Linked DNA regions of Drosophila melanogaster. The protein of the gene in region 1 interacts with the protein of each later gene in a pairwise test. Each region holds a gene or a part of one and is shown in the gene's direction. Other genes may lie near its edges. The genes, in order: Syt14 and Cyp1.

Region 1 (17,815 bases):
TTCACTTGTGCTTTCATGCATAAAAAAAGTTCGGATTTCAGGCATTTGCCATTCGCACATAATATCAGCTGTCACTACCCTTGGCAATGATGTAGTGTATGAGCAGAACAAGTTTGAAGATTGCTCCAATTGTCAACTTTTTTTTTTGCTGTAAAGTTGGCTTTTACCTTTGTGTCAATTTATTAATTATTAAATTGGCTTATTTTTAAAAGGTTAATTCTTCTTTTCCTTCCCAGCAACAAAATTTAATGGTAAGATGGGAATGTGAATGTAAATGGAGTAGCCAACATGTGCTTTAAATATATTGTTAGTACTTATGTAATCTTACTACAATCATAAGTTAACAATAAATAAATGGAAGCCTATAGAGGCATGTCCGTTTGTATGAACATCGAATTTTTGGGAACTATAAAAGATACCTAAGCATGCAGATTCTATTGAGGTTTTCGTGGCGTAAGTTTCTTTTAGAACATTGTCACACCACAAAGGCCACAAACGGTGGCTATTCTATGGTATTTGACGCCCAAAAACTGTCTCGCCCACACTTTTTAAAAATTTCATTATACCCGTTACTCGTAGTAAAAGGGTATACTAGATTCGTTGAAAAGTATGTTACAGGTCGGACTCGTTTGTGGCCATATAAAATAAGGATATTCCTGATCAAGATCACTAGCCGAGTCTGGCCATGTCCGCCTGTCAGTCCGTTTGTATGAACGTCGAGATCTCAGAAACTATAAGAAAAACTTCGAGAAGATTTAAGTTTATTCATTTCCCAATTTCTATCGACATGCCAAAAAAAATTTTATAGCTCTCGTTCGCACTTCCACTGAGTCACCAAAGGGTATCTAATAGTCGGGGACCACTCTTGTCAAAACTAACATAGGCCTTCCACTTACCTTTCTCGTATATATTTTATAATTGCTTTTATTAATTCTTCGCCTCATGCAATTATTCTCCTGTCAATTTGGAATATATTATTGACTTTTTGTACCCGTGCATTGCAGCAATTTTTAAATCAGAACCCCAACTATGAAATAGAGTGGCAAACAAACCGCGAGCGGGCCATGAATCAACAGAAAGATCACGATGATGCCAAGAATAAAAAGTCCAAGAAAGACGAGGACAAGGCGTCCAAAAAGAGGAAAAAAAAGGGGTAAGGGTCATAAGAATAATTTGAATCCAGATTATATTTTATATTTGTTTCTTTTTTACAAACAGCGGGGACAAAAAAAAAAAGAAGCGCAAGCACGGAAAGAAGAGCAAACGTAGTACAATAGATGCAAACAGCACATCGTCATCCTCCGATAGCTCTTCGTCGGAAGAGGAAAATGGACAGCAACCAAAGAAAGGTCGTACCGAACAGCAACCAATTTGTCAATCAGATAAGTCGACTAATGCAGCATCAATACGAGTGGCCATGAGAAAGCAGGAAAGCACACCAACAAATTTGAAGCCGGAAGTGCCTTGTCAGCCTGTGGTGCCGCCACCGCCACCGATCATAAAGGATTCCACAATTCCTTCAGAACGGGGTAAATGGACTGCCGCCAGTGTCGAAGACCAAAGTAAGGATCAAAAGAACCGGGATGATACCATGCTCAAGCAATGGAATAATGTGCAGCCTGTTATAAGTGAGAGTGAAAAAAAGTTGTTGGAGCAGCTTAAAGGAAGGCTGAAGAACAAGGGAGCCCGCGACCAGAACAACCACAAAGCAGTACCAACAGAAGCGAATGATGAAAAGTTTAGGCGGGGTGGAGGACGTCATTCTCGTTCACGTTCTAAGCGGCGCAGCTACTCTCGAAGCATAAGTCGCGGGCGGGATCGAGATCGGCGGGATCGTGAGCGAGATAGAGACCGTGGTCGTAGGCGTCGGTCACGCAGTCGTGGCCGACACTTCTCTCGTTCGCCCATAAGATCTAGTCGAAGAAGTCGATCCCGTCAGGGCCGAAGTCGACGCAGTCGTAGTCGCTCTATTGAACGGGTAGAGCGTCCCGTGGTCAAGCATTCCGAGTTTCGGCCCCGTACTGTGCCGGAACGCAAGCAAACTGATATAAAGCGCGACAAGAAGGATGCAGAAAGCAAGTCAAAGTCATCCAAGCCCAGTAACAATTCCTTGCCTGGAGGCAAAAAACTACCTTTCATCGGTAAGATGCCAGTATTTAAAAAGCAGTCTGTTCCATCTTTCAACTATGATGCTTCTGCTGTCTACACCAACGGCTGTTTGGAGGCACCACCTCCACCGCCACCTCCATTGGGCGGAGCGACAAGTCAGATAGCTGTGCGTCAACAAGCACCGACAGCTGCGCAGATTCAGATGGCAATGATGGAAGATGCTTTTGGCAATGCTCCCCCATTTCATCCAGATGCGGGTATGATGGTAGATTACGATGAGCTAATGCCAGATCCTGTCCAGTTCGCCAATTTAATGACGAGCTGCCCACCACCTCCGCCGCCTGGAGAAGGCTCTGAAGGTGATGCCCATGGCCCTGAGGATGGCGATCAGCATGACAACGAAAACCGAGAGGACGTCTTGCCCCCAGGCATTGATGAAGCTGAATCTGCCCTGGTACCGCATCCGTTAGACGCTGCGGCACAATCCCGAGACGGGGAACTCCCAAAGGACCTGGTCGAAGCGCTTGACATAATATTCCCCAGCGACGTAGCGATTTTGGAGGCATCAAATGGAAACAGTGAAAAGCAGGAAGATGTGACTATCACCACCATTGTTGAAGATGACGCAGTGCTCAGTGTGATTCATCTTCAAGATTTAGCTAAAGAGGGTATTCACCTTGTAACTATCAATGAAGCAGAGGTACCTAAAAAGTCACATATTCAAACATCGGAGAAGATTGAAAAGTTGCAGGATTTAAATGGCAAATCGGACGACGGAGTAAACATAAAACTGATTGACGCAGAGGATATCCCAATGCCGAATTCGCCTCCGGCTGAGCCGTCATTTGACGAGGAGACGAAAAGCAAGGCCTTACAGAAGCAAGCTGATATCTCAGAAATACCAGAGCCGGCTGTATCGCCTTCAGACAGTGAGAAGCTTCGTCGTCAGTCGGAGCTTGACGAGTTGGCTATGCTGGGAATCGACAGGAGTGACATGGCGGCACAATGTATGTAGAACGTGTCTTTCTTTGCTATGTATATTATTCTTTTTTTTTAATTAAATTAGAAACTGTGCTATTTGAGTCTTAAATGAGTTCTACATTATTTTTTCTATATATGTGCATAGATGCTCTGTAAGATTTGAGTTGACTTGGAGAGGGCGAAAGGCAAGTCCCGACGCCGGATACACGGGCGGACGAATCGAATAACACGTCAAGGAGCCCCATAAAAAGGAACAGTTTTAGATTTTAGATTGGCACCTGTGTATGAGTGTTTTTGACGGAATGTTTTAAATAAATGCGCATATATGTATGTAATATATGTAAGAATCCTAAAAACGTTTGATTTATAATTGCTTTAACATACACTGCGCGTCATCAGATTAGAGCCCCCTGCATGTCCCCGTTTCTTCTTATGTTCTGTTTTTCTATTTTGTTTTATTTTGCCATTGCATAAAAATATATCAATTTAATTTTTTTTTTGTTCACTGATATTCACCTCTTTGAGGATAAAAAAAGGTCCTGAAAAAAACCGTTATCTTTTTAGTTCTGCTTTGTTTTCTTTTCGGCGAAAAATTGGACACGTATATGGCATCATCAGATTAGCGCCCCATAATGAAGTTTGGAATATCTTCCATAATTTAAAAGGTAGGACAACAAAATTTTGTATGCTGTTAAATTGAATAGTTTGCTTTAATTTTGCGAAAAAATGGGACGAGGCACGCGAAATCATAGCTTTCTATGAATGCGGGCTTTCTTTTTATAAAATTGCAAACGGCAGACATCGCAAAACTATAGTCAATTTTATTAAAAACAAGTGAACTTATGGAAAAAACTATAAAGGTGGCAATAACATTCCTTATCGAATACCTTGCAATTCCCACGACTCCTCCGACAAAATTCGGGGTAAAAGTGGCGAAAACCCGAGCAAATCTTTGATTCAAAGAGTGATTAAGAAAACTAAACATTTGAAACACAGAAAACTGAAAAAAAACATCTCTTTATAAGTTGCGAAAAAAAGCACGACTGAGTTTTGCTTGAGCTTATATGATCCGGTCTAAGGAGTGGCATTATGTTGTATTTTCGGACGAGAAGAAATTTATCTGGAGAAAGCAGACGGCTATAGTAATTACAACCATGATTTGCGTATAGAGGAGCATATTTTGGTTCGCTTTCACAGACGGGTTGGAGGTGTCATGGTATGGAGCGCAGCATCTTATCATGGCCTCTGTGAATTCCAGTTTTTAACAGCAAAAATTATATTATTATATATAATTGTGTATTAAAAAACTGCATTTCCCTATTTTAAAAACATTTTTGGAAACATGGATTCAAAGCGAAATGTAAAAGTTCTGGGGCATGGTTGGATGGGAAGGTATACGAGGGTGGTAAACAATATGCCACTCAAGAGGAATCGATCACCGAAATAAAACTCGGTTGGTCTACGATTGCTTTGGATTACCTACAAAAAAATATGATTCACTTCCCAGACGAATGTGTGAAGTCCTTGAAAACAAAAAATCCTTTAAAAATATTCTAATTTAAATATTTCAGTGCTTAACATCTAATTTTTATTTACTTGAATAAAAATCTATAAACAACAAACTGTAACCCAAATAAACTTTTCATTTATAGAACTTTTCAACTCTTAAGGGAAAAAAATTTTCAAAGCTCTCGCTTACTAAATATCTCACATCAAAAAGTTTTGCTTAAGAGGCGCTGACCTGGTGACGCGCAGTGTATTAAAAAACTATAAAAACGCATTCCGTTCATGTTAATGTTTATGTTTATGTCTATTTATATGAATATATTACATTTTTACATTTTTTAATTAAATGGCACTTAACAAATATGGTTAACAATTTTCATTATTCAACCTACTTAATTATTATTTAAATTCTAGGCTTTTTGCGTCTATATAGATTTTGATTTTTGTTCATTTCGATAGGTACAGGTTTTCTTAGTTAATCATCCACAAAATACAAACACTGTTGTGCAATGCATCTCAATTAACTCAAAATGAATTAAATAATTTATGGACCATATTCATTTAAAAATTTAGTGACATTTATTTTTAGTAGACAAAAAACAATGAGTTTCAAAATTTTAAATTACAGTTGACACTTGGTAAAAGCATTCTAGTTAATACATTTGAGCTTACGCACAGGTTATTGGGTTATAATAAATTTTGAAACATAAGATGAAGTGTCGTTGATGTGATAATTGTCGTGTATCCAAATGCTATAAGTGAGTGACACGCATTTTGTGTTGGCGCAACCCTTTTGCTTTTGAGGCGGCTTATAGCTAAAACTATAAGTCCGTAATCGGAGCGTCCGCCACGCTGAATTTCGATGATAGCGTTATGTCCGCTGCAGTGCTTGATACGGTCGGGTTCCTCTTTGTCTTACCTCTCACCTGGTCACTTAGGTCTTCAACCAATTTCTCAAGGCTATAATGTTGCCCAGTATAAATAACCATTGAAAGATAAAAAGGAAGTGTACAATTTGTAAGTTTTAGGATTAGTTACCAAGCTCAGATAGTGATTAAAATGATTAGTAGAATGTGACTAAACGTATATTTAAAACGTCCATGCAAGTGAAAGTTAACGGTGATGGGTTAGTTTAAAAATGTAGAACAGAGCATATACTACACCCACGCAATTATACGTTGATTTGTCTCCTTACGTACGGAGGCCGCCTCGCTGCGCTCCCGCTTTAGATGAGCGTGGTCCTTCTTTCGTGGTAGCAATGGCGGTGGAATTCCCGGATTGATCTGGTCAGAAGCCAGCGCAAAAGAGGGAGGGCTTCTAACTGCTTGCTTTTCTGATTTAGGTATCTGTGAGTGAGGCGTTAAGTTGGAGGGAGATTGATGACCGATGTTCAAACACGATAAACTGTTGTTGCCAGTCAGGGATAATTCTTCTCCGTCCAGTCCTACTTGCTCTACTAACTGCTCCTCTTCTATTTCGTCGTCCTCTTCCAAAGAGTGTGTCGTTTGGATAGGCGTTTGATGCATTGTTCCATAATGAAGGTTTAAAGATTTTGCCCGTCGTATTCCGAGGGCACCGGAACCCACAACTCCGCCGCCACCCCCATTCGGAAATGGCTTTCGGAATCCATGGGATCGGTCATTTTCGTAAATAATGTCGTTACTGATTGGCCGCTGGTTATAACAACCGGCCAGAGCTTGACGAAGGCACTTGTTTTCGGATTCCAGATGTGAGAGGCGTTTGTTAGTCTCCTTTTTCTCCAGTCGCAACTGCATTACTTGGGTCTACAACCGAAATCGAATTTTTAGCTTTTAGCTTTTTATGCACATTTATTTTAGCACTCACCTTTAGATCGTCTATATCTCTCAGAATTCGGACATTTCCCTCGTTTAAGGAACACTGACGTTCTTCAACCATTAATTTTACTCTGAGAACAAAATGTAATCAACACTCTAAATATACTTTTTAATTTTCGACTTCTTACCGACTTAGCAGTGCATCTTCGCGTATGCGCGCTGCCTCCTTCACTTCCCGCACGACATCCGTCATCATTCCTGGAGTGTAGGCGCCTGAAAAATGGGAAGCGAATATAACTTATTACTCACTCCTTTGCATGGCATAGTTGGGGGTAGCGTTTATGTTATACCTGAGTGAAATGTGGGCGCTGGGCTGTGTGTCCCTCCCAATCCACTGCCAAGAATAAGAGGTTGACTTTGTGTGCTTAGCCCGCTTAAGCTATCTCTACGGTGCCGCATGCCCCCAAAGCCTACACCTGCCCAGTGCTGGCTATTAGGGGAGTGCTTTAAAGCTTCGATATCAACTATGATTGTGTTTGCAAGTGCAAGGGAGTACATAGAAAGAGGAAATGGGTGGCAACACATTCTAATTAGCATACGAGTACAAGTAAAATAAATCAGAGATTTGTGTAATTTTGTCGTAATTTGGGAAGCATCGTGACATCTAAACTGGACACAATCCTACAAACCACACACCTTTTGTATTATGCAAATTCCGGCAGATCTTGGAATTGGTGTCGTGCAATATGTTTATTTGTTCCATTAGAGCCGCGAAAAATTTGTTTTGATGTGCCAGATCACAGCCACTGCCATTGTTGTTCACATTTCGACACTCTGGTGTATTCTGGCCACTCAGCTTAGAGTCATTATCGGAGGGGTTCAGTAGGCACGGATCGCTGAACCGAAATCTGTTATCACACGGTAAGTACGGCTCTTTAATAATTCATTACGAATTTATTGTTTTTGCTTACCCCTTGGTAAAGTTGGGATTGCTTTCGCTGCCATCCAGCACATCCGTCGAATTCGGTTCCTGATCGCACCCAAGCCCTTCCGGCCCTCCCATCATGTTGTTCAGGGGAGGCAAGCTTGCAAACTCCTGGCCACCATCACCATAGCTGTTAAGGCTCTGGGGTGGGAAGAGCATCGGATATCGATGGCTAAGAGAGTTCGAATTCTGTAAAAATAAAATAAAGTTGGGTGTGCGTTGTACAAAATATCTTGCAATAGCAACTACTCACGCGCTGTATCCCCAGGCTAAACGGTGTGCCTGGACCCACTCCGTAAGGCTGGGTTCGCTTCGAAAATTCCTGTTGCCTCTGCTGCTGTAGTTGCTGTTTAAGCTGCGGCAGCTGCTGCTGTTGAGTCAAAAACATTTGCTTATGAGCTGGTGCTGTGGGCGGTATGAAGTCCAAAAACTCAGATGAAGAAGACAATTGGGCGTTGGTGGCATCACGTAAACAGCTCTCCAACCAGGCATCAAGGTGATCGTTGGAATAGTTAATATCGGTTCTCTTGACCTCACCGATGTTCGTTTGGTTAAGAGAGGTCGCCGCTGCTTCAGTTTTTTGGGCCAATGGGGAAGGTGGTACGTTACGCGACCTTAGTTTCTTGCGCTTGGTGGCATCCGTAGCTGAAGGAGAATTTAATTTGAGGTCATCTTGACAATTTCAATAGTGCAGGTCCTAGTGTGGACAGATTACGTAGCTAAAGGCTTCACGGCTTTCACTTCCAGCATTGACAAAGTGAAAACTATTACACGAATTCAACAATTCCGGACGTAACGCTCAACTCGGCGGCTAAACTAGAGTTGTCTAAGTTACTTTAGCCCAGAAAAACGTCTGGGGCAATTTGAAGCAATTTTAAGACTATTTTGGTTCGTTTTTCAATTGTTAAAACCAAACGGTTTTCTTTAAGTCAAGCAAATACTTGGTTTTTATAGATTGAGCAAACTCGATGCCCCTTTCGATAAACGGCCAGTAAGGAGAGCAAGGAAATTACTCAGAAATGCTTCTAAATGTTGAGGGATTGTCACCGAACCTTGAAAATATACATATTCTGGATTAGGATCACTAGCCGAGTCGATCTATCAATGTCCGTATGTCCGTCGAGGTCTCGGATACTATAAATTTCATAATAAGAAGCAAGCTTGTTTTGCAACTAACCAAAGCTGACACTCCCACCCCTAATTTGTTGTCATTTGACTGTATATATTGTTAATTTCTATTGATTAAAACTGCCACGCCCACACTATTGAACATTTTCAACTTTTTAATCAGATGTATGTATACTCATATACTTACTTAATATACATATGTACTTTATACTGTAATATTAATTTTAAACAAACAGTATATATTTTGCCCACCTTATATAATTCGGGAGTTAGGTAAATAGTTTCCGTTATTTCAATGATATATCTCGGACAAAGGCATCGTAACAAATAAAATTAAGTCGATTACTGACCGTGAAATCAGTCAGTTTGAATAGATTAAATCTTTTCGTAATTATAGTGGCTAAAAATAAAAGGAACCTTAAGATCAAAAAATGCAATATAACATGTTTATTATATCAAAATTAGTACAACACAGAAGAAACTTAGAGGTTTCTTAACTTTGCAGGGAATTATAAAAGGCGTAATGTACAAAATTAACCTAATTGATTTATTATTGTGTTTTGTATTTATTTAACATTTCACTCACTGATTTGGAATTTAATGTGAATTTTGAGTTTATAATACCAAGTTCTTTAAAATAGACTTTATAAACAACCTAGATTAACGGATATTCAATATTTCGGACGATGATCTCGCTCACCTCTCTGTGTACTGTTCAGACCCGCTCCAGTAGTGACCTTTTTCTGGGCACCGATCCCGCCGTTATTTCCTGGCGTTAAGCAAAAGCTGTTGCCAGCAATCAGCGACGTCACTTCTGCGGGGAAATCCAACCCACCGCCGTTTGTGCTTATCTCCCTCTGGCTGGAAGTTGTCGTTTCCTCCCGCAAAACGCTCATGTTGCTTCTGAAATAGAAAAAATACGGATAGTTAAGTATTGTTAAGCGAGGTTTTTCATTCGTGCGATTCCGCAGTGGACCATAAAAACTGGAAGCACACAGAAATTAACCCACGAAAGACTCGATGTTTGTACCTAGTGCACTTGGGGGAGACAATAAACAGAAGTGAAACAGCAAGAAAAATCCTCAAGTTACGTATGCAATCCCTGGAAACAGCCGTACGATTTCTCCAAACACTTGCACGACCACCGTCACAAACTGTGCTGTGGTTGCAGAATATACAATGTAAAAACATTTAAATGTATGCAGGCACAGACCAGTGGAATGGCACTTAATTGACGAACAATAAACATTTATTCACTTATTGATCTACAAATGAATTTAGACGAATTCACTAACAGATAATAGAATTTTCCAGCGGTAGCCCTAAATCAGCGTTTTGTGTCTATAAAATTGTCAATGAGGTTTAACAGTTTACAATACGATTGATAGTTCAACTAAAAAACCTATTTACCAGTTTTAAGCGTTGTTTCTATTAGTATGTAACATCTAGTAATACGTTCGGGATGAAAATAGGCGGTAGCTTGGATTCAAGATAATTGTATCTACTCCCACTTTAACTGACTAAGAACGACATTGGCAGTAAACTCTGGCCACCAAGATGAACGTCAGTCAAGTATAAAGAGAAAATAAACATTCGCCGCTTTTGGGTCAAGTTTTTTTTTGTTGGTGGGTGGTTGCCAGCAAATATACATACTGCAAGTGAAGACATACCAATAAGCATAAGGTATTTGGCAGCCAATTGAAGTGGCTGGTGCGTAATCTATGCAGTCGAGTTAACCGAAAATTAAGCCGCCAAACCAAACCGGTTTCACCGCTGTGTCTAATGACCTTTCCATTTAACAAATTTTAATGACACCAATAAAGAAAGGCTGCGTTGTCAATGGAGATGGTGACATGGCCCACAGCGACTCCTTCCCGCGATCAATGACTAAATGCACACGGCGACAAAGAGCTGGAAGAGCGAGTCGCTTGGTTTGTTGACCCAATCGAAGAGCACTATACATACATATGTACTTCGATTGCTTGAGCTATATTGTAGCAAATATTTAAACCCTGGCAAAAAATGTGAATTAGATATTGACTTGGCTGGCGATATTGATCAGGAATAGATATACTTGATATGGTCGCAAATATCTCCACCACTGCGTTAAAACCTTCTAACTGAAATTAATATACATTCTGCAAGGGTATGAAGAAATTAGGATTGACAGAAATGGAGTTGACTTGAAAGTTGAATACTAGCTTAAAAGCTCAAAAGACCGGGAAACGACATTGTAAGTTTTTGTAGAAATTCCAAGCATCTACAGCTGGGATTCCCACGCCATTGCTCACTGGTCCACTGCAAAAACTTGCTTACAATAGAATATTTTCTAGAAGCTCTGCGAGGATATTTTATATATTTGGAAGTACACATATATACCTAACGAAAAATGCCTTGGTTGTTAGATTCAAGGTTAGACAAACTTTTATTTTCATACAAAAGCGTTATATTATATGTATTTAGACTGCACTTTGCCAGATTCCAGTTCGGCTTCGTGCTGCTTTGTGTCGAAAAGTTTTGACACGCGCTCAACTCTGGTCTGGGCTCTTGGTACGGGAAATCGAGTTTTCAAATCCCTGTTCCACCCCCATCCCACCCTCTCGATTTTCATTGTGTGCGAGTGACTGCTGCGAAATGAAAAGCGAAACGACATAAGATGACGTCGTAGACTGGCTTTCTTCCTCCTGCTAGCTCCACCAGCAATAAAGAAACGAAGTAATCGACGCCAAGGAGGTGGTATCACGGTACCACCGCGGTATTCCGCTTTGTGGGGGGCACTGAGCACTATATTTAGCTGTTTAGCCATAATCATATTATCAGAAGCGTCTCAGCGGAATTTGGCACACACGGCACTCACACTTGCCCAGTGGCATTGGCCATCCAAAATTTACTTGCGTCACAATTGCGGATTAAATGTATTGGACTTTCAAGCACGGCGTGGGCGCGGTCACGGTTTTGCATACGGTGTTCTGACAGGCGGAAACATTCAGTTTGAGCAGCGACAAAAAATTAAGCGCACAACGGAACTGAGCCAATTCATTAGGCATTTATTTTAGAGGTGGGCAATCTGCGATGTGCCGTCAAAGCGATGACTTTCGCTGGAACAGCGATTGTTGCGATTATCGATACCTGCTGCTCGGAGTGTTATCTGCTATCGAATAACAGCGCATTTCATGTATGTAAGCATGAGTAGCTCTAAAAATTTTGACCTAAATTATAAGGCTCTTTTTTAAACAACCGGACAATTACCTGAATGGAGCATACAATGTGCATTAATTCTGATGCACTAATTCCGCTTTTCTTAATTATTTGGTTCAAATTTTTGAACATCAATAACAGGCAAACGGTCTTGGTCTTAACATTTTATGAAACCGTGGCTACGACTAACGTTTAAACCTTCGAATGCATACGACACGGAGAGAATTTTTATTCGAGACATTCTAAACAATTACAATTCAAGAAATCACAGCACAGCACAACCAATAAAAAAGAATCCCGTTTCTAAGTTTTCAGCTTAAATCATCCTCCCAAACACAAAAAAATAAGCAACAGTTGTTACTGCGATGCAACTGTCGAAACGGAGCTTTTCCGAGCCCTGTGTGTACACACACTGGGGGTGGAGGGATTAAGCTCCAAAGTGCTTGCTTTGAAGCAGTTTTTCCATCGAGTTTAAGGCAGCTCATCCTAATTCAGTTGAATTAAATCCTGAGCCGTTTGATTTTTATTTCTGAATCTCTCGTTGCATGATTCGCAGTTTTGGGATCGTGCCTTCAAGAAATCGAAAGTGATTAATAGGATAGAACAGTATAGTTGTTCCTTCTATAATTTGTTTTACGATTTTGCAACCAAATCTCAGATGAACGGTTCCGAAATACGGAAGGGCCAAAAAAACGGGTAATTCGGAGTACACCAGCTTCCAAACGACTTTTTTGCTTTGATCCCTAGTCGTTGTCTTGCGAAAAATCGATTCCAGTTATCCTGCGACGCTGTGCTGTCAAATTCCTGAGCTTTTGCTTTCACGCTGCAGTGAGAATAATTTTTAGTGACTTGACTTGTGGTCCGGGTGCAATGAGTTGCGAGTAGTAGACTCGTGTTCGCCAGGATCCTCGCATGAGCCAAGATGATTGTTACCTCCGCTTCTGGACTGGATAGCACTCCGACGCTCGGTACGTAAAAATGTATATGCACCCCACAAACCACACCATTCTGACCTGAGCCGTGACTGTTAAATCTTTCAGGCACCATCGAGGTGACCACTTTGCTGGGCGCCTTTTTCGGCGTCCTCGTTCTACTGCTCCTGTTGTTTCTTTTCATCAGTCGCAAGTGCTGTTTTCACTACCGCCATGCCATCAACTGCTGCGACGAGCGCCACCTTGCAGTCAAGTGTGTGCAGAAGATCAGTGAGTACCGTGTTTCGTGGGGATTGGGGCTGACTGGCTAACTTTTAAGTATCCCGCAGCCCGCAAAAGGCGTTACGAGAACACCAGCTCCGACTCGGAGGAAGACATCTTGAGGCGCCTGCGGTGGCATCAACAGCACCAACTGGGCGAGAAGCCTGGCGGATACGGGCTGGGAATCAGCCAGGCTAATCCGCTGACGGCGCAGAGCTTCAACTACCACCAAGCAGGCGCAAGTGCCGACCTGCAGCGTGTGACGGTGTCGCGTGACCCCTTAGCCATCGCCGAGCGTGGCAAGGTTGGAATCCCGTCATCGCACAGTGAGTGCAGCTCGAACGATTCCATGGAGGTCTCCGTGGACAGTCACACAGGCGTCCTGACGGGTCTGAGCAAAGGTAAGCAAGGCGGGGTCAGGGCCAGCTAATTGACAGCCGTTGCAATGAGTCACGACCTTTTGACAGCCACAACCACAGTTCCCCACCCGGCGACAGCCTTCCGCAATCCGTGTGGAGAACACCGGGCCAAGACCCAGGCACTGAGGTACCAGCACCGGGTCAACGTGGCTGCTCCGCCAAAGCTGGACAAGGAACGGGACAACGTGCTGGTGGTGCCCATGGTCAATGCCTACAGCATTAACAACAACAACAACTCGATAACAACCAGCAATAACCATCCCAGCAGCAACAACAACGATGACGTAAGTTTTACAACATAAGAGGTACTTTAAATACCTATTCCTTTAAAAGAAACTATGCCTAGAAAGGCATTCAACTTTCGGTCGGACTCGTAAAGTTTACCCAACAAGCATAGTCGAGTCTAACCGACTCTTATGGTCCATATAGTCTGTTAACAATCTTTTTTTGCTTGACAAGTTAAAATTCATTAATGCGTTGTATAAATTCATTAATGCGTTGCATGTGTAAAATAAAAGTTTATTATCTTAACTTTGAAAAATTATGTGCACCGCATAAATTAAAAATTCTTTCTAAGAAATATAATTAATCTGTCAAAATCCGATACTTTGCTAAAAAATAAATTAAAGTGTTTAAGTTACTTTACTTGCGAGTACCAATTGATATTCCAAAAACTATTTATCCCTAGGCTCTTATTATAAAATCTTTTTGATGGGTAATGCGTTCTTGATAGTCGAGGCACTCAACGATAGCATTTCATATTTTCTTGTACCATGCTTTAGGGCTTTTCATTGAAACTTTTTTTAACATACAAAACTTTTCAACTTCCAGGAACCCCTATTTGACACCAGCGATTTGCGCTCGATCAAGTCGGATGACCTACTGGTTGGTGTGGACCAGAAGGAGCCGGCCGTGCAGAGGGGTCCCATCGAGCTGGAGCTGTCGCTGCTGTACGACGCCCCAATGCGGAAAATGACGGTGCACGTGATGCAGGCAAAAAATCTTCCGCCCCTGGGTAGTGGGCAGACCACCCACACGCAGGTCCGGATGCTGATGCTGCCAAGCAAAAAGCAGAAGCTCAAAACCAAGATCCGTAGCGGCGAAAATCCACAGTATATGGAGAGCTTTCTTCTCCATCGCGTCAACCCAGAAGATGTGAACAACATGGGGCTGCGTGTGCGGCTTTACGGCTGCGAGCGGCTGCGCAAGGAACGCCTGATTGGGGAGGCGTATGTGAGCTTCGCCACTGTTGACCTTGAACTGGAAACAAACCTATGGCTGCCGCTGGAGCCACGAAACACCTCGTCGGGCCTGGGTTCTACTAGCGATCTGTTAAGCCTGGCTCGGTCAGAAAGCGCGGGCTCCACCTCGTCCATGCAGCACGGGGGCGTCTCCGAGTTGCTGCTGGGTTTGAGCTACAACGGGGTCACTGGGCGTCTGAGCGTCGAGATCATCAAGGGAAGCCAGTTCCGCAGCTTGTCGCTGAACAAGGCGCCCGACACGTACGTTAAAATGGTTATGGTCAGCAGCATCGGACAAGAGATCTCCCGGGCCAAAACGTCAATCCGCAGGGGTCAGCCTAACCCGCTTTTTAAGGAGACATTCGCCTTTCAGGTGGCCCTGTTCCAGCTCAACGATGTTACTCTGATGATCTCTGTGTACGCCAAGCGGCACATGAAGAAAAACGAGATGGTCGGCTGGTTCAGCCTGGGTCTGAACTCGTCCGGATCAGAGGAAGTGGCCCATTGGGCAGACGTGTGCGAGATGCCCAAGGGAGAGATGCTGGCGCGTTGGCATGTGCTGGTGGACTCCTGATTCGAGCAGCTGGGCCAGTCATCCGGACGCAGCGGAAAGGCCCTCCGAAAGCTGAGTCTCGCTGCGTTCAAGGACCGGTCCCGCGAGAAGAGCTCAAAGGAGTCGCGTCTGGAGGAGAACGGAGCTCAATTCCATGCAGCGGTTGCACTTGATATTGAGCCAGGCCTGGAGCTGGACTTTGTCTAAAGCAGAGGTCTGTGTTTGTGATTTGTTTTTACAAGGTCGATGCCAAATGACGACTGCTGTCGTCAAGTGCTTGGCTCAGGATGAGACCGACCAAGAGGTAGGGTCATCCGAACAATCTAGCCTAGACTGGGCCATAAAATATTTGTAATTTGGAATCAATTTGGCACACATTTTGTTTATAAAATGTAGGAAATATGAAATATGAAAGCGAACAAGAATAACCAGAATACTCAAATTTTATACGCAAGTACATACACGAAAAGTACATACCAGTACTTATATGTATAACTACTCGAAATTTGAATTTTATGATTGTTTGTGATAAAGAATACTATATGAAATATCAGATGTCCGAATAGAGCGTATTTAAGATTTTGAGTGTACATTTGTACATCTGTGCAAGCTACGGATGAGTGACGAATTTTTGTAATTTACCTTTCTGCATCTTATATTTAAATATTAAGCCCGGCATAAGATGCCCAAAGTCTGTTGAGACTAGCACTTTTTTATTACCCAAATATGAAAACCGAAAACACATAGGAACAATTGTAGCCAATGCATACGTACATACAATACATCAAACCTGCAACTTACATACCTTAACAAACCTACGTACATAGGTAACTCTTGGTTTTTTGATCAAGAGCCATGCGCATGTTCCAGTTTTGATATTCAAAGAAATACAAAAGTATCGGTACCTTAGAATTCGAACGCACAAATACATATTCTACATTCGAAGATAAGTTGGAAAAAATGTTGGTAAAAATACTAGGACATCTGTGAATGCAAGCATGCCGATTCGCGTGCCAGGCGAGAAGATGGATTTTATTAGAGCTTTATTTCGATTTAGGGATCGGACTAAAGAGCACATATGTATTTAGCTGCTCCGCTAAAGTATCTGACTATCGTTGACGGTCGTTGTGGCTGGATTTTGCAATGGTCAATGAAATGAAAGTACTTTGGTTTTGCATTAGAGCGCAAGAATGATATAAGTTAAACTTATAAAAAGAGAAACCTTAAAGCTTTAATAAATATTTAAAGAAATTGTTTTTTAAACTCAAATTAAATCGAAACCTAAAAAAGCAAAACTATTAAGGTGTTGCCATGCGCATCCAGCGTAATATTAATTTGTATGTTGAATCATATTCAGAGTATTTATATCTTTTAAAAATCTGTATGTTTTAAGTGTCGAATATTTTATAACCGCAATTCGAATGAATTGGTGCTCCTTATTACTGCAAAGGCCATATATAAGCTAAGTCTATAACTTCATTTGGGAAGGACAGCGAGGATAAATTTAACTAACTAATCGAAATCGTTAATGTCGGTATTACATATTTCTAAATTCAACAGTGCAACGGCTGTTAGCCTTGACACAAAGTTCATTTTTGTCAAGTGTTTCAGACCAAAGACACTAGAATAACTCTAGTGTCTAATAATTCTAGTGTCTTTGTTCAGACTCTGCGTCCCTCCATAAATTGCAAAAAAAAAAAAAAAAACAAATTCATTTTCTTTTTCTGACAGAGATAACATAATAAAACTTTTAAATTTAAACAATTAAATTGCCATTGTTAATTATCAACTAAATAATTTTAATATAACTTAATTGCCACTTAAAATAAAAGTATATTATATAAAAATCCATTTCTTACCTACTTATTTCGTATTCTAACTAATCCTGAGCTGGCACGTTCATTTTCTGCGTTTTTTCCTTGTCTTTCGCCCGATCCCTGAGTAATTATCCTCGTCGTCACTATTCACCACTGGTTCCGAATTTTCATTAGATTGCGAATTGGATTTGCCAAGTTGCTGGGCGTCCCATTCCTTGCGTAGCTCGCTAAGCATGCCTGGGGTAAGAAGACCCTGTGCAAGTAACCTTTCGGTGAGACGGCCACGCGACAAGCTGGGTAGACGAGGCTCCTTCACGTGCGTTATTCGGCGGATTGCATAGTTTGATGTTTCTCCGTCCTGACTCGCCTCGGTATTTTTAAGCAAGCGAGTTATTTGAAAAACGCCCTGCTGTATAATTTCGTCCAGTTCCTTCTGGGCATCTCGCACGTAGGCCGCTTCAGGGAAGAGATCCATGAACCGATAGCTGCAAAACAAGTTTGATTAGATTTTTTCTGAAGCGCACTTGTGCGAGACTTGCCTTAGCCAAAGATACAGATCCATCACGTCAAAGACGGCCTCAAGATGGACCAGGTCCAATATCGTCTTGGGTAGCTTGAATGGCCAGCCACAGTTTTTTTTTATAAAATCAAAGGTAATAGGCTCGTTGCGGCTGTATTGCCGTGCTACCTTAAGGAACATTGAGCAAACAAAGGGCATCTTTCGATTAATAGGTGCACAGCAGAATACATAGCGAGCCCGCAAAGGCAGAGCAACATGTTGTATCATTTCGGCTAAGAACTTAAAGTCTTCAATGTTGCACATAAAGTATAGAGAATCATCGACAGTGCACAGATTCACGAATATGTCCATTAGGTTGCTCAAAGACGA
Region 2 (15,836 bases), on another chromosome or scaffold:
TGGTGTACATCTTGAAGACGCCCTGCCAGGACTTCAGGTTGACCATGAAGGTCTTGAACTGCTGGAACGTGATGCGACCACTGCCGCTCCGGTCCTGCAGAGCGATCACCTGGCGACAGATGTCGATGTTGGCGCAACCCTTGATATAATCATTGGGCAGGCACGCCTCCAGGAGCTCGTGCAGCTCGAAGCAGTTAATGGTCTTGTTCTCATCCGCCAGTTGCATGTACACGGGCTCATATTGGCACACACTCTTGACCTTCGGCCCGCCGCACCGTTCGGCATCTGTGCTCTTGAGTGCCGGAAATGGATCCAGCAGTATCATGGTCTGCGTCTCCAGGCAGGAGAGTCGGAAGGATCCGGTGCCCAGGATGCGGACCGTGAAATGTGCCTCCTCCGCCGGCTCATAGGTGGTCGGTATGAGGACGTAGTGACCCGCCTCCAGGTGCGTATGATAGCTAACGTGCCGCGTATTCCCATAGTCCGAGTTCAGATAGCTCACATGGTTCTTGAAGAAGTCCTTCTGCAGGCACTCGCTGAGCATATACTCGCCATCCCATGTGTACATCGTAAAGCCAATGACCTTCGGCTCCACGGCCGTGTGCTGATTGAGGGCAATTACCAGATCCTGCTCATCCTGCACGGATATCAGTAGCTGGGGGTTGATATGGAACGACTCGTGATTGCGACAACCACCGGCGGTGACGCCTCGCTTCCACTGGCCCTGGTGCATTTTCATCTTCCAGTGCAGCGGACGACTCTTTAGCATCTCCTCGTCGTTGGACGTCTCCGTGTCCAGGTACACCACCTCCATGGTGCTAAAAATCTCCACAAAGTCGCAGAACGACAGCCAAAACTCGCCGGGACCAAGTTGCCGGATGAGACGCGCTCGCTCCACCTGCGAGACACGCTCCCACGTCTTGGACATCGGTGACCAGTCGCCGAGGAAGTGCGTCTTCTCGCCGAACGGCTTGCTCGAGAACGTGTCCTTCAGGCACACCAGCTGCACCGAGTCACCCATCAGGGTCTTCACCTTGTCCAGGCTGGAGAGTCTGTAAGTTTCAATGGCAAATGGTCGTTGCAGTAGTAAAGACATTAGAAGGTAATAGATCGATGGATGTCCTACCTGTAGTTAACGTTCACCAGAATCCCATTGGGCATGCGCTCGGCGAGATTCTTCTTGGCCACGGTTGCGCTCTTGTCCGCCAAGCAGGTGACAATGCAGGTGGTGGTGAGTAGCTCCTTCAGCGTCTGTGGCCTGATGTTGTCCGACAGGATGGGCATTTGCCGGACCACGCCGCCCAGGAGATCAGTGAGTCCGTCGGAACGAGTGCCGTACTTGAGGGCCTCGTAGGAGCCGTGCAACTTGGCAATGGCCTTCTCCAGCAGGGCGGCCCAAAAGCAATTGGATGCCTGCGGCTGCATGAACGCCAGCCGTCCATTGATGGTGGGCAGACGGTCGTCGACCAGTACCTCCACCCACTCGCCGCACCACCACAAACGGAAACGAAAGACGCCGTGAGCACTGGCCAGTGTCTGATCGGCGGGCACCACGCGATAGAAGAGATTCCTCAGGGAACTCAACAGTCCCAGGCAGGAGACCAGCCAGCGATCGCCCATTTTGCCAGGCACCACATCGAACTCCGCCGATTCGTTGAGGAACACTGGTGCCGCCGAACTGTTGGCAGCCACCGCACCGGAGCCACTATCCGCCAAATCCATGATACGCTTCCATTGGAAGGTGAACGGCGGTGTCTGGTAGTAGAAGACCGAAGACTGGACCGCGGGGAAATCGGGGTCTTCCCACAGCACGTTCTTCGATCTGCAATCGCTCAGTATGCGCTCGTATTTGGATGCCATCTTCTGGGCTTCGATATCCTTTGCATCACTTCCGCTTTCGAGTTGCTATCCTGATGCCTGCTAGTCGTAGTCCCACTGCGATTTGCCTTGGTCTCCGCCCCTCGTAGCCGAAGTGAAAGTTAACCAGCTGCATGAAATATACAATGCCAACTAGCTTAGCCAACTCTAGCTTCGATCCCGAACCGGTTCCGTTCGGTTCATCTGCGGGAACCGTTTTAATTGCGCCCCAAACTCCATCGCAGCCACCGACTCCGCCAACTGGTTCCAGATGCGCCAGTTCAGATACGCGACTCCATCATCTTGGCGCGTTGCGCATGCGCATCTGGAATGATCGATTCAATTATGATGCATTTGCTGATCAATATTTGGGAACTAGTTGAACAGAAAGGCATTGCATTTGAAAAATATTTAGTAAGCGCTTCAAATTAAGTACACGGGATTAACACATAAATATGACATCTTTTTAATGACACTTAAATACAAACATAGATGTATGTACATATATATGTATGTGCGACTATATTGTGTCACATTCAATTCATATAGTTCACATTTATATTATATATATCTATATATATCCTTTAGTTGATGTTCCGCTACAAAGAAAAGTTCTAACTAAATTTAAAACCTAACTATCAGTTAATCGATGGTCAAATATCGATAGAAAATCTAGAAATGAAATCAAATTTGCATATACATATGTGTGTATGTATGTATGTATATATCCTCTAATAAAAACACAATGCATATTAGATATTAGATTAGATCTGAAACCAGCTTAAGCCAATTGAAAATCAAAGGCGCATCACAAGTGGGCATAACAACGTTTATTGCAAATATACAAAATGCTACTAATTATGCTAGAATTTTAAAAATAAGTACGCACAGTATTTGGATGGCAGTACGTGTAGTAGATTATTAACAGAACAATTCCGACAATATACAAGGCAATGATGGCTGTGGCAAGATACAAGGGAATGTACAAAGCGCAGGCGATGATATTTTGCAACAAACAGAATGTGAGATAGAAGGCGTACTTATATTTGGTTGGTGCATCCTTGACGGGCGTAAAAATAAATAGATAGACAACGCCAAAGCACAGGCAGTACGAATAGTTCATGGGGCGGGATTTTGCGATCATTGGCGAGTCCACAAAGAACACAATGGTGCCGTAAAAGCAAGCCAGTGTCGCGCAGATGATCAGCGTTTCGATGGGAAAAATACTGGCCACATACGCGATGCAAAGCGTTCTCGAAACTACGAAATAAAAGCGAATAACTAAAAGCTTAATATACACATTCTAAGCAACACAGCTAACTAACTACTACTAACCAGTGAGGCAGAGCAGGAAGAGAAATTGCAGAAATCGTCCCTTCGCCGCAATATCATGTTTGTCCAGTTGGGCCAGGCGATTGGAGTGATTGTACGCCTGGATGCACCACGCTATGTTGCCGAAGTAGACGATCAGGGCGATGTGGCGGTAGTCTGGGAAAAGAAATTTGAATGGGTAAATGGCATCCATCGACTTTCCATTCCGAGTTTCACTTTCGTTGGCTACAATCAATGAGTTAGGCTAAACGCCTAAACTGACTTTGATTTGCGAAAGTGAACGTCAGAATTTGGTGTTTATAAGCTTAAATTACTTATGCATTAGTTATCTTAATTAAGGCAGAGAGAGAGAGAGATTGAAATATGGCACTAATGTAGTATTAATATCGTATTACATGTGAACTCCAATGTCGATTGCAAAAGAATTGCCAGCTGTAGTATTTTCTGCGGTGCTGATTCCAAAAACGAGTCGAATAGACGAACGAAACTAACATTGCACTCCTCCGTCATGAGTTTTTGGTAATATCTGTAAGATAAGAATTCAGATATTCGTTATAAACATTCTAAAGTGCTCACTTATGATGAAAAGAGAAGATAAACTAAACGGCAGTACTACCATTTAGGGCATTAAGCTACTATTAACTAGTTTTATACACTGACACTAGCATTACTCACTCGATCTCCGCCTGCTTGTCATCCCGCTCCTTGGCCAACGAGTATTTGAACGCATAGTTTAGGACATAGACATCGCGGAAGAGATATGAGATCACAGCATTTGAGTACACCCCTCGCTCCAGGATGCGTTTTTCGCCGGCATGAGCGCTCTTCAAGCTGAAATTCAAATACAAATTTATCGTTTAGCTGTAGATTTCGGGGGAAGTACACGCTATCGCGATATGTCACATACGTATGTATATATATGACCGATGTGACCACCATGGGCACCAGAATGGAGCCAATGGTCCAGGCGCAGTATCCGTAGGACTCCTCCATCCAGTACACGTACGCCAGGCTCCAGTTGATGCAAATCGAGACGAAGCGCCACAGAATGGACACCACAGTGAGCAGCATGCTTAGTTTCGAGATCGGCCCCATCATAAGGGCGTCCACTTCGGTTCTTTGCTCCGCGGAGGCCATGTCTCCTCCGCCTCCTTATTGCACATGTGCCACCCTAGCCACACACAAATATCCAAGGCCTCGACCTCCAAACTACTCTCGCCTTCAACTTGCTGACACTGGTTTTCGACTAAAAAAAAAAACAAAACACTGAAGATTAGAATAAAGACTGAATTCTACGAGAACTTGTTCATTTGAACTAGAGATAGATCGATCGTACGCTTTTATCGGCGGAAAGCCGATAGTGAGCTGTTGCATCGAAAGCGTCATCGACGAAGTGCCATCTCTAGCCGACGGGTGGGATAGAATCTCCAATTGGGATTTCCATCCAGTGATTTCCTAATTAAATTAATTTTTTCCAATTGCCCAAAGGCATAGGCATATTTCGCAAAACGAACAAATATGTTTGCTTGAAGCGCATAGAATCACAAACAAAAGTGCAAATCTCAGAGCTTAAAAACCAGAGCAAAGGAGAATAACGGAAGAGGAGGCAAGCAAAAAGACAAAGAGGAGTGCAAAAAATACAGCAAACATCATGCACAGGACATATGTAAGCCATGCGATATACGCCATTTGGCTGGTTATATTCGCCACTGCCGGCATAATGGCCCAGCTAGACCTGGATCAGATCCAGACCCAGCTGCCCGACCAGCTGAGGAAGTCAAACTTTAGCGTGAACGACGCCAAGGAGCTATTTCGCAACAAATGCATCGAGGTGGCCGGCGAGGAGGCGGGCGTCGAGGCATACGGCGAGATCGAGTCCGGATTCATGGTGCTAACCGAGTGCCTCAATGGCATTGTCAACTACACGGCAATGCAGCAGGAGATACAGGAAGCGTCGCCCAAGGGCGAACTGGATGTGGTCTTCAACAAGTACTGCAGCCGGCGTTCGAATGCCGTCGAGTGTGTGGATGCGTTCACGGCCAAACTGGTGCCCTGTCTGGTGCAGGAGGAGCGCGAGGGCCAGGATGTCATTAAGCAGATCATCCAGAGTCTGCTCAACTTTGTGTGCCACAAGGATGGCGATCAGATAGCCCTGTTCATTGCCGAAAAGGGACCCGAATGCATTGAGTCCCAGAAGGACAACATTCAGCAGTGCGTGAACAGCACGTTCTCCGAGTACCTGAACGTGTCGGATCTGCAGGACAACCGCATCAGGAGCATGCCCAAGCTGACGGTCGGTCAGAAACAGTGCGACGAGATGCTGACTCTGCAGGCGTGTGTGGTCCGTAAACTGGAGCAATGCTCGGACATAACACCGGCGAATCTCGTCGAGTCCATGTTCAACTTCATTCGGAACCAAACGATGTGCCGTGACAATCAGAAATCGCCGCTCGTTGCGGCTGCCGCCAGCGGAGGGAGTCGGGTATTCCATCAAGTGTGGACCCATGTGGGCATCTTTTTGCTAATCCTGCGATTCGCTCTACAAAAGTCTTCTTAGTTCTAAGTCTGGGCGTCCGCTATATATCTCGAATCCGAATCTGTAAAACGCCTTCTCAACGCTTTGACTTTGGCATTCCAAAGCGATTAATCAAAGAGCACGATAATCACTGTTTTTAAGCTTTTGCTTCGCTTATATTAATATGCATGTAGCCGTGGAACAGGTGTCCATAGTTCAACCGCTTTCGGGGATAAGCATGCCAAGGTGCTGCTGCTCCAGGCTAGCCAGCCATATCGTTTTTGTTTGGTGCTTCTAATTTATGTAATTAATTGCCAATTGATGTATGTATGTATGTAGTATTGTAAACAATGCTTATACTTCCTTCTAGTTTTACTTCTGAATCAGAAATTCTTCTGGCCTTTGTCATGCGTTTATCTAATGCTTTATTTCCGTTTAATGAAATGGCGTGGCTTGCGGTTCTGATTCGAGTTGGGTTTGTATTAATCTCTTTCATTTAAATTCACTGAGGGAGGCAAATGGTAATCTCACTATTTCATAGTGGATCGGGTATGGGTTTGGGAAATGAAATGCTATATATGTAAAAACAATGAATGGATATGTTTTGTAAATGAATATACGTATCATTATTGTAATAATAAAGTGATAAATGTAAAAAGAAGGACGAGTTCATTTAAACTGGGAGTTAAAGGTCAATTAGGTGGTGAAAAGTACTCAGAGTAGTTGAGACCGTGCAGCTGCATTCATTACGTTTTCAGAAATGAATCACCAACTAGTTTTCACCTTGAACGCCATTTTCAAATTTCGCGGCAGAAAAACCACAACAAAAGGCGCGAGAAAAAGCGGAAAACAAATTTGAAAACATTGTTCCGATAATTGCTGATTATTTGTGAGCAATCATTTCAAGTAATCGAAAAATAATTTTGAAACAGGCTGTCTTGTTAGGTCAATTATTTTTTATCGTGCCATTTAAACAAAAATTATTTATATTTATTTATTTATTTTCCATCGTTTCTCCAAATTACATTTAAAAGTTTGTAAGACTTAATACTGTAAAACACTATTATTAGTTATTAACTATAGTTTAAAATGGCAAAATAGAAAATGCGACACGCACAATTGAACTATCGAAACGTTAATATTTAAAACAAGTAATTTAAAATAATGAATACATGTATAAAAATAATTAATACATTTGTTTTTAAAAAGCTATAGAAATAGCTGCATATATGCTTTAACAATTTATGCTTAAAAAGTCTTTATAATAATCCTGTGATTTCGCCGTGATTTTTGGGTTTACAATGTGCTGTTTTAGAATAATGGTTATTTCAAAGTGACCACTATTTTTCAATTATCTTAATTTTTTAATAGTCTTGTGTTTATTTCAACTTTAAGTTTTATATTTTAATGGCTCTTTAAAAGCAAAAAAATATTTGATTTTTAGGAGTGATCGCTGATCACGATGCTGTAATTTTTTGTAAGATATTTACTTAACGAAGGCGAATGCGTTGTTTCGATTGGCGGTTTCAAATGAGCGCAAGTAAATGTATTTATTTATTATAAAAATTGTAAAAAGGGCGCATGAACGCGACCATTTATCCGTTTTGATGGGGGAATGGGCAGCACAAAGTGCGTTTATGGGCGCCCTAAAGTGATGTAACAATTGCTGCGACCGCAGCAGCAGCGAAACGCGCGGAATGGAACGCACGGAACGATATCGTAGTATCGTACATGCGGTCGCAAGCCATACACGATGGTCTCTTTTTGTGCAACTCTGATTCGACAGTTTCGGCACAGGTCGGCAGCGGCATTTCAGATTGCGGAGTCCGCCATTTTAGCTAACAAATCTATAACCCTAGCTTCGTCAGCGTGCAGTGTGAATAGGGGTCAGTTGCAGTTTGGAATTCAGATTGTTCGCGAATATTCGAAAGCGTCAAAGATGAGTACTTTGCCTAGGGTGTTTTTTGATATGACCGCCGACAACGAGCCCCTCGGTCGGATCGTCATGGAGGTGAGTTATTTGCCCTTTTTTTTTAATTTTAAACTTAAGTTGAGGTTTTTTTTTTTGTGACATTTGACCAGAAAGTGAAAAACACGTGATTTCCCATAAAGCCATTTCTTACGCCTAAAGCTAAGACTGTGTTTTACATTATTTGCCTCAGGTGATAAGTACATACCGTTTTTTTCTTTTTATTTTTACGGATTTAAAACTTGTACCAAATATACACACAGCGCAAACTCGCCCTCTAATTTATAAGCGACAAGTGCAATTACTTTCCATGACTAATTGCATGACAATGCGCTATGGGTAAATTTTCAATTTTCCAACCCAATTGGACAGGCGCGTTTAATCGGAAAATCTCTATAATTATCTCTACATCGCTGAATTTTGAGCAAACAGGCAAGCAGGAGCACCAACCCCCGCAAATCGGCCATTTGGTGGTATTATCTTTATAGAATGGAATTTTCCTTATTTTAATTGACGTGTCGGCAAACTTTGGCCGAAATGGTGTGCAATTTTTACCGGTATTTTATATGCATCTGTGCATGTGTGCTATATATGTACATTCCGGCGTGGTCTGCGTATGTGTGGCTCATACCCATACACACATGCAGATCAATACACGAACATAACCTCTAAGCGGTCACTCGCGTATGTCTGTATGTTCTTGTCGTGCTTGCATATGTACATGTGTGCATGCGGGTAATGTACGCGCAGATGTACAGTGTACACACAGAGATATTCGGGTGTGAATGCGCGAGTTCTGTAAACCCGTTTGCAAACATGAACTCACTATTAATTCCGCCGATGATGTAATGTACACCTAATTTTTGAATAGAGAAAAAGAATAGGAAACGCGAATGCTTGATGTATATTTTTAGTGGCCTGGGAATAAAGTCATTGCCCGCCAAGTAAACCAAGCCACATGTCTAGGATTTTCCTTCCAATAGGACATACATATGTACATACGCACACTTGAACATACATGCAGTGCGCGAAAAATTCTGCACTTCACGCCGAATTACTACACTAAACAATTGAAGATTTATAGAGAAGCGGCATTAGGAAAAGCATTTACTTGACTAATTTATACAATTGTCTCGATTACTGGGTGAATTGGAAAATTGCTCAAATTCTAGTGCATTTGCAAAGTTCTGTGCATTATATGTATTTTTTCCCTTGGTATAGATATGCACATACATATGAACATGCATATGTATATTATCAAAGGGCTAAAAATGGCGATGAAAAAAAAGCGGCGTCAAAAAACAGCTGATCATGTTTACTGCCGCTCAACATGAATTATACAGAAAATTGTCCAGTCCTCAAAAAAAAAAAGAAATAAATAAGCAAAAAGTAGTGGCAAGGTCATCCGAGTTCGGATAAACAAACCTTGAAGAACTGAAAAAGAGTCATACTTTGTTAGCATTAATTTCTTGTTTACTAACGAAATTTCTACCCTTTTGTTTGTATTTTGCAGCTGCGCTCCGATGTCGTGCCCAAGACCGCCGAGAACTTCCGCGCCTTGTGCACCGGCGAGAAGGGATTCGGGTACAAGGGCTCCATTTTCCACCGCGTCATCCCCAACTTCATGTGCCAGGGCGGCGACTTCACCAACCACAACGGCACTGGCGGCAAGTCCATCTACGGCAACAAGTTCCCCGATGAGAACTTCGAGCTGAAGCACACCGGCTCCGGCATCCTGTCGATGGCCAACGCTGGCGCCAACACGAACGGCTCCCAGTTCTTTATTTGCACTGTGAAGACCGCCTGGTTGGACAACAAGCACGTCGTCTTCGGCGAGGTCGTCGAGGGACTGGATGTGGTCAAGAAGATCGAATCTTATGGATCGCAGTCTGGCAAGACCTCCAAGAAGATCATTGTGGCTAACTCTGGTTCTCTTTAAGAAGGTGCGATGCAAAAGCAACAGCAACATTGCAAGAAGAAAAATCTGTTAAGACGAAAACCATTTGCATTTTCTCCAAAACATTTTTTTTTACCAATTACTGTACTGTAATATTACGAGAAAAATACATAACAAACCAACATATTTTCAATAGACATGTTGGGTTTCCTTTGGCCAATCAATTGTATGTGGGGGCCAAAAGTGAATAGAATTAGTGCCCACCAATGTCAGAAAGCGTTCAATTGGCTATATAATATGCATTAAATCTGTAACTTTAACATTTCCATTCACAAAAAAAAAAACAAAGAAGAAAAACAATGAGACGACAAGAGTCGAGAGGGGCTTAGAAAAATGTTTGATCTTTTGATGTTGGCTTACTTACTACTAATAATAGTATTAGTAATGCTGATTATCTAATTGCATATATATATATATATACCAACGTTCTACGCTATGTACCGGAATCGGAATTGTATTTTCGTCTTAATAAATCTGAATAAACGGCAACCAACTACTCAATTGTTTGTTGTCACTGCTGGGATCTTTGGTTTTGGTAAATGGACATATTTTATTGGAAGAATATTTCGGAGCTACTCAAGGTGGCGTACAATAGATTGTATTCATGCTCGTAGGCGTTCACATGTCGTTCGGTTATCGCCACTGTCTGGTGAAGCTTCTCGTCCAGCTGCTCCGGCGCCGTCCGCTGCTGGCCCGCCAAAATGTCGCGCACCTTGGAGCGCTCCGCGTTCAGGTGCTGCGTGATCGTCTGGCTCCAGCCCAGCTCATGGAACTCCGTCTGCTGGTTCAGCATGTTGAGGATGTAGACCAGGCCGATGGCGAAGCCATCCTCGAACAGCGAGATCTTGGTCTGGTCCTTTTTGTAGATCTTTAGCTTCTGCTTGACCCGGTAGTCAATGTAGTTCATGATGAGCGCCGGTGTGATGAGGTAGAAGGTTCGCAGGTGGTGGTTATGTGGATTGCACAAAAAGGGCTGAAAGCCTTGCAGAAGAAGCTGCAATATAAATCCATGGGTTAAGCTGGTTACCTAACTTGTTAAGATCGTAGACTGCACCTTGAAGTAATTTGTGCTATCGGAATAGCACTCCTTCATGTGACCCAGGCTCTTCTCGTACTCCCTGATGGAACCCTCCGTAGCCTCGTGCACTTTGGAGCCCCCGCAACTGAAGTTGCTGTCGAATCTGGTTTTATACGAGCGATTCCGGAAGTTGGCATTCTTGCTTCCAGCCTGCAGGAGGCGCACATAGCCAACAGCGTTGCCTAAAAGCAATATTTACGTTTATATTTTAAGCATTTTCTTGAATTATGGTCTTTAACCACCTACCGACTTGTGTGATAACCTTCCTGAAAAGATCCATATACGTCTCGCCATTGCTGGAGCAGCCTAGCCTTCTGATCTTCTTAAGAAAACTATCGGCGCGCTCATAGGGATACGACTGATAGGACTTGCTGTGCTTGTGCTCCGTGTGAAAACGCAGCTCCTTGAGCAGCCGCGACTTGATCTGCTCGTCGTGGAGGAAGGTGGAGAAGGTGTAAAACTTTTGGCGCAAAAACTGGTATATAAAGTTGACGGTGGTGTTGATGATACCGGTGCCGTGCGTCTGCACCGAGTTGGCCACGTGCCGGGTGCCAATGATGTCGAGGTGCTTGCTCCTGCTGTTCGTCTCCACGAACACCTGCAGGTTCATGTTGTAGGCATACGAGGAGGCGAAAGTGTGTATATTCCGCATGATCTGCAGCACGTCTATGCCCTTGAAAGTGGGAAAGAATTGTTTGGTTAATAGAAGAGATTGCTTATTGATGATTCAATTGGTTACCTGGTCAATTATCTGATTGGGCAGGTGGTCATCGATGGGTTGCAGCTGCAGCACCTTGTTGGCCAAATGACGCATCTTTTCATACGATTTCCAGTCGTGCGGAGCGATTGTCGTTAAGTTGTAGAACGTGGCAGTGAAATAGTTCTCAAGATGATCTAAAATATGTTAATGAATGGCATGATCTCTCAGTTTTGTAACCGATATCTTACCTTTTATAATATTGTAATCACCATCGTTTTCAACTGCAACTGCATTGATGCAGAGACGATAGTCTAAGGCACTTTGCTGGAATGGTTGATCCTGGCTCTGGAAGAGATGCGAAAGGGCCTCCACGCGCAGAAAGAACTCCAGGTGGTTGCTCAAAAACTCAATGATCAAGTCATTCGCTGATTGCTTGGGACACCTTGAACCCCTGAACATGGCCATGATCTTGTCCAGATGATGGCTCACCGACACGAGGTTCTGCCGATGATAAATGGCATAAACATGAAGTTGCTTTGCCAGAAACTGAGTAAGAAACCAACCTGCAAGGAGTAGGGATTGCGTTGGAGTTCGGTGTACTCCTTAAGCACCGAAGTGTCCAGAAACCAGTGATTATATACCAGACTCGAGGACTCCGACGTGTTAAGTTGTCCACCAATATTCCGCATAATGTCGCTGATACTATTAACACGATGTAGGATCGATTTGATCAACTTTTGATTGTCGGCGGGCAGGAGGCGATTATCTAGAAACTCCCCGAGGGCTAGATTTACGAAAGTCAAACGTTGCTTGCTCGGAAATCCCATAATGGACTTCTCGGCCAGCTTTATTGTGGCCAAAAAGTTGATCTTGCGCTGCAGCAACTTGAGGACAACTATCTTCTTTTTCGTTGTGTGCAGCAGGTGTATGACCTTTTGCTTCTGCCATTGTATCAGTGAGCTGATAAAGCGCACGAAATTGATTTGGTTTGACTCAAAGGTCTTCTGAATGACCTTCAGGTACTGCAGCAACCGAGAGACGACGATCCAATCGTTTCTGGTCATGGGCGTCATCAGAGCCACGTGCCGATTGATCAGCGCGACTGCCAGCAGGTTAACTTGATCGGCATAGGAGTGTCCATTGAGAATCAACTGCAGAAAAGTCTTGAGGTGTCCAAAGACTCCCACATCGAATACCCTTTGCATTTGGATGGACCACAGCGATAGTTGGACGCCCAATTGGCGACAGGTCCTCTGATCGCTAAGCCTAAACTTCTCCAATACTGTGCTATGAACTTTTGGGCCTTGTCCATCTTGCGATCGGGCTGAAGACTTCATCAGGGTTTTGGCATGTAGAGAGAGGAATCCGGAAGGCGACCAGAAAACGCTTCGGTTGAGAGGCACCTGCTTATGCCTGGCCACCAAATCGATCACATTCTTGACCAGTTTTCCCTCCATCTGGATGCCTAGCTCATGGACGACGACCACGAAGGTGGTAAGTCGAATAATGTGCTTGGGATCCTCATAGTTTTTAAGTTCGTTACTCGGATTCGCGTCGACGTCGAGAAGCTGCCTACGAATATAGGCATTGGAATGCTGGGTGATGGGGCTAACACTATTCAGGCCAAATTGCTTCTTCAATTCCATCAAATTGTCCAGTAGAATCTGTTTGGAAATATCCATGAAAGGGCGGTTACCATTCACGTTTTTCTTTGACTTACCCGAAAGAAATCCTTGGTGATCAGATTCTCTATATCCATTAGCGATGTACTAAGGCCATTGAGCTCCAAGTTCGCTGATTGGCTATTGGATAGGTTCATCAGCCACTTCTTGTACAGCGCCCACATGGTGGATATCTTCGATTGGTTCGCCAGTTCATTGAATACCACTATGTGTTCCAGTAACTCACTCATTGCATCAAAGACAGCCTGCAAGTTTCGACTTCAATTGGTTACTACACTTGAGATGTGAGTTCGATCGTTGACTTACGAATATGTGGACTTCATTGATGTCCATTGGGACGCTAACAGATGCGGCTATTTGTCTCCAAAGGTTTTGGAGTATCACAATCATGCGATTGAGCAAGAAGTAAACCTGGCAGAAGAAGTCCATGGAGCTGCTCATGCGGACCAAGGATCCCTCCAAGCCGGCGGAACCCTCGGATGTGTGGGTATGTGGCGGGAGCGTATCATCTAATCGAAAGTCGCTGAAAAGGAATGCCAGCTGGAACCGTTTTGCCTTCCTGGACAGATTTCTGCACTGATTGCACAGATTCGCCAGAGTTGTCAGCGGTTTATTGGCCACCAGCTCCGATTCCTCAAAGCTTCTGTCCGGAGCCATGGAATCGTTGCCCATAAAGTTTACCTCGACCACGGGCGACATATATACACACTGTGCAGACTCGGAAACATCCCGATTAGGCACTTTATCTCGCAATAATTTCAATTTCCCATCGTGCTCCGATATGAAGGAGCCGTAATCCCGTAGGATATCCTCGGCAAACATAGCTGAAATAGAAAATATATAGATAAGAATAGTATTCCATAGCTGATATCGGCGTTTTCATACACATAGAGCTTTGCTCTTCCTTCATGTCTACCAATTTTAAAAATATTATTGTTTTGGTTTTCTCATGGCAAATTTAGGGATGGGGCATTTCAAGTGGGTGGATTCCGATTCGATAACGCTAAATTCTCGATATCTTTTGTTTAAACAAGCGTAGTTAAAACCCAAAAACTGTGTAAAATCGAAAATCGCGATTAATTGAATGGAAAAGTTGGTAGCATGTCTATTCCGATAAATGATTTATTTATACAATTTATAAGCAAAAATAATCCTCAGATAATAAATTCATTTTATTTATATAAGAAGCAATATAAATTTTTGATTCAAGAAACAGCGGTAAAAATACATAATCGTAATGACTATGAATATATGCAATACCTAGTTTTCATTCTGACTTAACAAATTAAATCAATTTCTATAAGTTTGGTTATCGATTTCCAAGGATTAAAATCGTACTCCTTGACACGAATACCTGTACGTCGCAGTCTATTTTTAAAACAAGACTTTTGTCCATAAACAAATTTAATTTTGATATTTAAGTTTTGGACTTAAATGTTTTGTAGAATAAGTTATTTCGGATGTCTTATCATAGAAGTTTTGTTATCGATAACAAAAGGCTTGTCGTGTATAAGGGCCCTAAACAGCGTGTATGCATTAGTGTATGTGTACACACAAGCGTTGATGTTCCGTTTCCATTCGTTCCACTGGCCTTACAAATGCCGAGCAATAAAATCGCGTCGTATTTTATAAGTCATTGCAGGAATTATTTAATTTGAGCCTGAAAGCAGTTTGACCAACTGACTAGGCAAATTTGGTTGTGTACTACTAAAAATTTATAGGAATAATTAGTACGGCATGGAAACGTCTGAAATAGGTTGATTACCAAATTGATTCTTAATGGAAATTCTTGTTTAACCATTTTATACACTTAATTTTCAGAAAAGGCCGGCGGCGACGAAGCCGAGACCTTATCCGAGCCACTCGAGAAGACCACAACAGACACGGCCGCAAAAGCGGAGCTAAAGGAAATTCAAGATACCAATCCCGACGCAACCAATTTCGAGCCAGTATTGCCAGAGAAGAGCAAGAGCAAGTCTCCTTCGCCGGCACCCAAGAATGGTGATGATAATGCCGAGGCCATCGCCGATCGCTCGCGTAGTCGCAGTCGCAGTGCTACCAGGAAGAGCGCATCCCGCTCCAGAAGCGGATCCCATAAGTCCCGCAGCGGATCGGTGCACTCGGCAGCCAGTGGCCGGCGTTCGCGCAGTGGCTCCAAGCAGTCGCTAAACGGTTCCCGGCGGTCGCGGAGCGGCTCCGCTCCGTCCCGCAGTGGCTCCCGTCATTCTGGCGCAGCACCGGGATCGCCTGCTGGATCCAGACGTTCGCGCAGCGGCTCTAGACGATCCCGCAGCGGTTCTAGACAATCCCGCAGCGGCTCTAGGCGTTCCCGCAGTGGATCTAAGCAATCGCACCGCTCACGCAGTGGGTCTAAGCGATCCCGCAGTGGATCACGTCGCTCCCGCAGTGGCTCTAGGCGATCCCGCAGTGGGTCTAAGCAATCCCGTGGTGGATCGCGCCGCTCCCGCAGTGGGTCTAAGCAATCGCGCAGTGGATCACGTCGCTCTCGCAGTGGATCTAAGCGATCTCGCAGTAGGTCCGGTTCTAGACGCTCAAATGCATCGCGGAGCGGTTCTCGACGTTCGCGAAGCGGCTCTGTATCTAGACGATCTCGCAGTGGATCTGGATCAAGGCGTTCTCGAAGTGGCTCTAGGCGATCGCGCAGTGGATCTAAACGCTCCCGAAGTGGCTCCATTTGCTCCCGGAGCGGATCCAGGCGCTCTCGTAGTGGATCGGCGCGCTCTCG

Evidence for each region.
Region 2: the proteins of Syt14 (region 1) and Cyp1 interact in a two-hybrid assay, tested with the Drosophila melanogaster proteins (one large-scale study listed by BioGRID).

Annotation. Positions count from the first base shown.
Region 1 is NT_033777.3:4,313,438-4,331,252, reverse strand, and holds Syt14 (synaptotagmin 14), read left to right. Parts: upstream 1-12,183; 5' UTR 12,184-12,625; coding exon 12,626-12,671; intron 12,672-12,743; coding exon 12,744-12,905; intron 12,906-12,964; coding exon 12,965-13,297; intron 13,298-13,363; coding exon 13,364-13,599; intron 13,600-14,146; coding exon 14,147-15,130; coding exon of another isoform or gene 15,131-15,316; 3' UTR 15,317-16,798; downstream 16,799-17,815. Other genes in the region: CG9776 (uncharacterized protein), read left to right, coding at 1,005-1,153, 1,219-3,116, 3,236-3,246; CG9795 (uncharacterized protein), read right to left, coding at 5,418-5,556, 5,764-6,380, 6,442-6,523, 6,581-6,665, 6,743-6,916, 7,089-7,300, 7,364-7,566, 7,631-8,022 and 2 more; Suv3 helicase, read right to left, coding at 17,009-17,411, 17,466-17,815.
Region 2 is NC_004354.4:16,311,958-16,327,793, reverse strand, and holds Cyp1 (cyclophilin 1), read left to right. Parts: upstream 1-7,423; 5' UTR 7,424-7,457; coding exon 7,458-7,715; intron 7,716-9,186; coding exon 9,187-9,612; 3' UTR 9,613-10,121; downstream 10,122-15,836. Other genes in the region: CalpC (calpain C), read right to left, coding at 1-1,052, 1,127-1,860; CG32579 (uncharacterized protein), read right to left, coding at 2,729-3,138, 3,193-3,345, 3,585-3,715, 3,865-4,020, 4,097-4,326; CG9917 (uncharacterized protein), read left to right, coding at 4,841-5,746; SWIP (strumpellin and WASH-interacting protein), read right to left, coding at 10,181-10,624, 10,685-10,890, 10,955-11,381, 11,448-11,602, 11,657-11,909, 11,972-13,072, 13,129-13,335, 13,397-13,912; CG9915 (uncharacterized protein), read left to right, coding at 14,828-14,846, 14,912-15,836. UniProt on the Drosophila melanogaster protein: PPIases accelerate the folding of proteins. It catalyzes the cis-trans isomerization of proline imidic peptide bonds in oligopeptides.